Neodiprion lecontei: one gene and its partner. The protein of the gene in region 2 purifies or fractionates together with the protein of the main gene of each other region. This does not show direct contact. Links are inferred from orthologs where the notes say so. Each region holds a gene or a part of one and is shown on either strand. Other genes may lie near its edges. The genes, in order: myosin-2 essential light chain and unconventional myosin-Va.

Region 1 (3,412 bases), about 370 kb from region 2:
GAATCAAGAACTGTTAACCCAAGGAGTGAAATTCGCATTGGTGCCTTAGCCTACGATGTTTCGATTGGTTAAATGCTCTGCAAATCAAAATTCAACCGTGCGGTGGAAACGAATGCCTTTCGCCAAGGAATGCTTAGCGTTACTTGTAGCGGCTTGAAGCATTCTGAACGATAAAAACAGTTGCGCCGATATTTTCATCGAGTATTTGTAGCAATTTGATACAAAAATTGTACAATATTTAGAGAAATTTGAACTTTGGATTAGTCACTTCCGGTGATAAAGAATATCGTGTGGCATTCTGCCTACGTCACGAACGTTTCGTTGTGACTGCAAGAAGCGAGCGGTTGGCGGTTAGTCAGCACGACGACACGCATCTGGTAGTAAGCGTGTATTCCGCGTCAGGAACTTGTACTTTGCACAATGGTAAGGAACGCTTTGACATATTGACGTAAAAAAAATAATTCACCAACTCGTTTGAAATAGACAAGAAATATGTATATAAATTGTGCCCTTGTTCCAGGCTTCGTATTCAGAGGATCAGCTGGCCGGTGAGTGACTGAAGCTCTCTGTATCATACTAAGGAGGGCAGATATTTTTTTCTCTTTTTTCTTTACGTTAATTCAGGTCAAGAATACCTTCGCCTTTTTAGACACGCCCCGCTTCTATTTATCGAGGATTACCTTTTATGGCTCGACTTTTGAAAGTGAACGTTCCTCTGTTATACTGACGCTTCTCCCATATTCTTCCTTACATCGACAATTTATTCTCATTCCTGGCTCGAGAGTTCAGTTTTCGCGATTATCTCATGAAGCTGACAACGTAAACAGCCGCGCCTAAATTCTTCGCCTTGTATTATTCCCTAATTTCATGTTTCTATTCAATTTTTAATAATCGTTGTGTTTGCGCGAATTTGAACGCAGATTTTAAATTTTAACGTCCATGACCTACTATTTTCTCAAAGAGTGATTTAAATTTACGAAAAATATCTGGAAAATTCATCAATTTTGCTGTTTTTTGTTTTTATTGATTTCTTTTTGTTCTCTTAATCTTTCACAATATACATAAACATACAAAGATGTATGGATACAGTTATCAAGAACTTTCCAACAGGATGATGTCATCTGTTGAGGGTAAATCATATAACTTAATAATTTTACCTTACTTGTAAAGCTCAGTGACGTCATTAGTATTGATAAAATTCCAATCTTTACTTGTCTCCTGAGGATGGACATAATGACGCACTTATTAGATTTAGGTTCAATTTTTGTTGATTTTGTAAAATCTAATCACAAATTTCTTTGCTCTAGATGTAAAAGTATTTATTTTTGCAATTATAAGATAGAATTATCGGATTTGCAGGAAAAAATTCGCAACATTGTTTTTTTTTCATCTCATCTGGTTTGTTTATTGTCATTTATTAATAATATTTTAGAATTCCAAGAGGCGTTCCAGCTTTTTGATAGCCGCGGAGATGGAAAAATCCACATTGCTCAAATTGGCGACGCCCTGAGAGCCTTGGGGCAAAATCCAACGGAATCAGACGTCAAAAAGTTCACTCACCAGCACAAGCCTGATGAGAGAATTAGCTTCGAGGTATTCTTGCCCATTTATCAAGCCATTAGTAAGTCTCGCACCTCCGATACTGCTGATGACTTCATTGAGGGATTGAGACACTTCGACAAAGATGGAAATGGTTACATTTCATCCGCCGAACTCAGGCATCTGTTAACCACACTTGGTATGTAAACTATTGCCCAACTGATGTATGTTGAGACCTACATGGCAAAATTCTTTTTTTTTCACAAATTCCTCTTAAATATTTTTTATAAATTTCTCTGAACTATGTTAATTCATAGATATTTCTGACAGATTCTGAAAATAATTTTGGACAGCAGTGATTGTTCGTACCAAAAATAAAATATGATTTATTAGATCGTTTCATTATTTTCAACGTCAACAAAATTGTTCAAACAATATTTTTACTAAAAAGTGTGTTATATCTCCGTACTCATTTTTTGTCTATTCGTATATTTGAGGAGCATGATAATTACTAATGGTTCATAATTATTTAGGAGAGAAACTCAGTGATGAAGAAGTTGAGACCCTGTTAGCTGGCCATGAGGATTCACAAGGGAATATTAATTATGAAGACTTCGTTCGTCAAATCATGTGCGGCTGAATGCACTATATTCTTATGCAGTAATTGCTTACTCATTTTTTATTAGTTTCGTATTGTTTTCAAAAGTATTTAAAAAGAAATAAATATCTTTGATTTTTATTTATATGTCACATTCGAAGCAGATGCAAATGTTGCAACAACGATTTATGGATACCATTCATCGGTTGCTATTGTATCACAAGTAAAATAAACTTTTTTATATTATACAAAAAACAAAACAAAAAAGAAAAAAAAACTAATAAGAGAGATAATCAACTCAATTATTTGAATAGAAATCTAGCTAATAAAGTGTGGTGCCTTGACCGAATATCCTTTATGTCGAACCAATCTTCCGTGCTATAATTCAATTGATTAAATCTGAATCGTACACATTCTTAGTGGCTGAGAAATAGCCATCAATAAGAATATTTCTGAGGTACAGCGATGCTCCTCATTTGCGATGTATAATCGTAATATTTAAATCTATCTGGATGGAATAAAAACGTAACTCAAGATGATTGTAAAACATCTTGTTTCTGCATTCAAATATCTAGCTGTTACATTATTTATAATAAACGAATAGTACGCATTTGCAAATTCTCATTTTTACCAATTCATATCGTAAATGTGCGAGGACAGAGAAAATTTATCTGATGTGAGATAAATATAGAACATTACGCTTATCGTATATTAGATTATTAAACTTCTGTGTTTCACATATATAAGCTTGACAACAGTTAGTTTATGCCGTGCATCTGCATTAGTTTCTATTTGTTTCGTGAAGATATTCAAAGACTGTTACTATCAGAAGTCTTAGGTTCTACCTAGTTTCTCACGAAACACTTCAATAATGCACGTCGAAATCTGTATTGTCTATGTCGAATGCAATATCGAGATGCAACCGTAGAAGATAAATTCGTCGAAATTTCAGAAAGTTTTTCGAAATACTTCCGCTACTTATCATTCGTAACTTTACAAGTGATTACGGCACTGTCGTGTCGACAGTCTGTATTCGTAGTCTCCGTCGTAGTTGGCAAACAACTCGTTTTATGCGCATGCGCGACGCGCAGTCTCAGTCTCGTAATCGGACGGTGACGTCAGAGTACACGTACAAGGATAGAATGTTCGGGGAGATTTTCCACATTGCTCCAAATCGCACGTACGCTCAACAGCGCAGCAAGCAAGAAAAGTATTAGCTCAGTGTCTCCAGAAGAAAACAAAATTCTGCTCGACGCAGTTAAACTAAATCCGCCA
Region 2 (3,939 bases):
AAATAGGCTCGCTCAGTTGTTCAAGCAGGAATCGATAGTCCCGTGAATCCATCCCCGAGTCGCCGGTGCGGGCGCGACCCCCGTTGAAAATTCGCGGAGGAACAGATCGAGGTCAAGTTTTCTATGCGTCTATCTACGAATACGGATTTCATGATCCGCACGTTTTTTCTTTACGATATATATTCGAGATTCAAAATATTCGTCTGATTATTTCCTACAGATTAGAAAAAAAAAAGAACAAAAAAAAAGAACGGAATTCTCTCAGTTTGGTTTATTATTCTTAAGTGTATTCCAAAAAATTACCAGGATTCGAACACTTCGTGTGCACAGTAATAATCAGATACCTTTCCGAACGTTTTCATACATTTTCAGCCTTTCAAAATAAGATTTGAAAGAGAAAATGTTTTGGTTTTTTTTTTTTTTTCATAAAAAAATATAACACTGATTATAATTCGTCACGTGCGATGATGGACATTATTTTTATGGAAAATTTGCAGAATCAACTGTGCTCACTTCAGAATTTTAAATAATTTACGAATATTTTATGCGTCTTTAAAATAAAATTATTTACAATTTATACATATATGAAAATCTTCTGAATTAAATTTCTGATAATACCGCAAAGAAATATTCTTTTAATTTTTAGGATCGTTTGAAATTTATTTCGAAGTGATGAAAGTTTTGTGAGTTTATCGAATCATTTACCAATTGTTGACAAAGATTGTTGAAAAAACATTTTCACCAGGGGATTGCTTCAAATCGTCGGAAATTTTCAAACACAGCTAAATAAGTTTGGATGTCCCAATTAAGTCGATACAATTATTGTTAACCTGACATTGAATGCGTTTCGCAGAATACGCGTTTGCGAAATTTAAATGATAATGTTTTACATCAAATTTGAAGACGGTTAAAATAACCATGTTCGACATCGGTGTAAGACTGGTTTATTTATTCTTCATCCTAGATTCCAGAATACCAAAGCTCTGAATGGACGAAAAAGCTCTCGCGTCAAAAACGTCAATAACTCATCTGGGTCACACTTTCCTCTTTAATTTCGTGGAAATAGTTGGTGGAAGAAAACGAGATTTAATGAAAACTATCTATAAGGTTACAGTTATGTTTTTCGAAGTATAGAAATAAATTTATTGTAAAAAGAAGCAGGAGAAAAATGTAATGAAATAAATGTTAGCCATATCTTTTGTCCTCTCCTTTTCAAATATTTATTTACTACCTATTAAAACTGCTGAATTTCATTTCACAATTATGCATTTTTGTATTAAAAATTGATCACTTTTCCAAACACTCTGTAGTTTTATAAAAAGCAAGCTTCTTCAAAAACCTACCTTGACATTTTTGTCAAAATTCGTTATAATACTTTAACATCATCAATGGGTATTGTAGATTGATTCCGTAGATATTTTTAGTACAAATTCCAATTCCAATTTCTTGAAAAAATTTACACCGTATTTCGGATCCTGGACAATGGAAAATAATTGAACACCACAAAAATGCAAGAATGAATCAGATCCTTGTTAAAATATAGTATGAAATAGATTTCAAATATTCTCAAGCTGCAATTGAATCGACCAGCTGCGTAATCAAGGCATTGGTCAGAACATATCAATACAATGACTAATTGCGAGCGATATATTATTTTCCAATCGGTGGACGATGAGCGGAAATATGGATCGCCCAATTGAGCCTAACTCAGAATTATAAACGATAACAACAATAAGCGTGTAGAGAAAATAATTTCGGAGCAAATCGATATCGCAGCTTTCCTCGCGAATTGCACCTAGGTAAACATCTCGTCATAATATGCGGGAGTATAATTCGGCCGGCCAGCTGTGTGTGCAAATTCGAATTTTCTGTCTTTCGACCGGTTCCGGTTTTATTTCTGTTGTTCCACGGAGACTGCGAGAGTTAAACGCGTCAGTCGATCGTGTCGACAAGACGAATTTGTTTTTCTCATATTCCGAAAACCGTGTTCAAAAGTCGAGGATGAAAGTGTACGGGCGTGTGCGAATGCGATGAGAAACAAGCGAACAACGAGAAACCTAAGAAATATATGAATTGATCGATTAATTTTGCATCCGCGAATTCGATCCACCGTTTACCTTAACGTATAATTCCCTTGTCGTCATGGTGGCGATGGATAAGAGTCCAATTTCCGTTGCTGATTCTCACTAAATTCCATTAATCCCTTGTGTATCCTCCGCGTAAAGAGCGTCACAACATTTTGGAGCGCGAAGGTTTCGTTCCGAGTTCTTTAACACGTACAAAATCGACACCGATTCTATCGCGACTCACTATCAGCCTTCGGATGGCTTGCGACTCACAGCTGGGCTTGTGGCTTACTATCGGTTGGCATTGTACGCCTCATGCTCTCCCCACTTCCTCCATTCCTCTCCTTTCCTTACCCCCCCCCACAGTAGCCTGGTTTCACACAGGTGATGAACCTATCTACAGCGACAGGTGTCGCGATCTGTTTTGACTCTGCCGAAGTCGATTGGGTCCAGAACGCGTCGATATGGACTCCAGCGACAACAGACGTTGGGTGTATCGACTTGCATTGGTGCAGGAAAATGCAGGAATCTGTCGAAGTATTCTTACAAGATACGATTAGCACGAAAACTTTTCTTTGTTGCGTATTTTCATCACACATTTCGTTCTGTTCTTTCCCATTTTTATTCGACATTTTTTTATTTTCGACAATCCTGGACATACCTATGTATCATGTTACTTCGGAACTAAGGTGTCATTTGGTGGCAGTGAATATGCAACACTAATTGTGATGGTGTCGTAATTAGTGTATTTGAAAGTGTTTTTTCACCGTATGTTTTTCTCTATGTCGATTTAGCGACTTAAAATCAGAGTCGAACAACTTAAACGACGTTTTCTGCGCTCCGTTTAATTAGCCTCAAATTATCAGCTGATCGCTCGACGCGACGCCATATTGTTCTAAACCGAATATCCCAATAATAGCAATTTTCGAGCGATCAAAAAATGAAGGAAAGAAAATTTTACCGACAAACTTGATTAACTCAACTTTTGTATACAATATACAATAATCACTAAGCTGCAACCAAAACATCTGTCGTGTCAATATTCAATTTGTTTTTTTATTGACAAACTTGAACGCGATTCATTACACGTTTCATACCTACATCTCGATATTATAAATGTTAAATAGGTACACACGCAATGATGAATAAAATAACCGAGAATATGATGGCAATTGTTTATCGAAATAGAGTAGAGTGGATCTGATTTACAGGTGTATAATTCATTAAATGTCATTGATTAACCTCACTTCAGTTAATTTTCTAGCAGTAATAATCGGATAAAATCATGTCTGAGCAATAGTGAATTGTATAATAGATAAATACGTATTGGAAGTGAATCGTGTGACTTGAAAAATGGCTTTCTTTCAATTGACTTTGAAAGCTAGGCGGCTTGAGCAAATGAAACTTCTGTATCAGGATGAGAAAATGAGATCTATAGAAGTTTCTAAAGGAGCCAAGATCCATTACACATTTAGGCAGAAGATTCGTTACAAAAAGAAACTGTATGTTATCAAGTCTAATATGCCGAGTAAATATTTGGTTATTTTTATTAGTCACGATTTGTCAATCGTCCCAAGAAATTGAGTCACTCGAGATTAAAGTCCAAGACATCGGTAGGAAAAAAACCCAAACAGAAAGAGGGAGCATTGGACAGCTTGGACTTTACTGTGATCAAGCAGCTCTTCTTCATTGTTATATGTGTATATGATTTTTGGAAGCAGAGTTACCAGTTGCTTTGCATTGGAAACCGCCGTTTTACGAAATTATCCACTCTGATTCAAAGTCAATTCGTCGTGGGTTCGTCAAAAATGTTAAAAAAAAAACGGCGGAATCTCCAGCTGCTTTTCCAATGCTTCCTCGGTCAATGCATTTT

The links.
Region 1: the proteins of unconventional myosin-Va (region 2) and myosin-2 essential light chain purify together in Drosophila melanogaster (affinity purification with mass spectrometry; 3 studies listed by BioGRID, with this or other methods). This does not show direct contact. The link is inferred for Neodiprion lecontei from reciprocal best matches to the Drosophila melanogaster genes didum and Mlc-c.

What each region holds. Positions count from the first base shown.
Region 1 is NC_060261.1:12,127,910-12,131,321, forward strand, and holds myosin-2 essential light chain, read left to right. Parts: upstream 1-1,075; coding exon 1,076-1,130; intron 1,131-1,432; coding exon 1,433-1,738; intron 1,739-2,072; coding exon 2,073-2,179; 3' UTR 2,180-2,705; downstream 2,706-3,412.
Region 2 is NC_060261.1:12,493,044-12,496,982, forward strand, and holds the start of unconventional myosin-Va, read right to left. Parts: upstream 2,374-3,939; 5' UTR 2,145-2,373; coding exon 2,118-2,144; intron 1-2,117. Other genes in the region: DC-STAMP domain-containing protein 2-like, read left to right, coding at 3,465-3,568.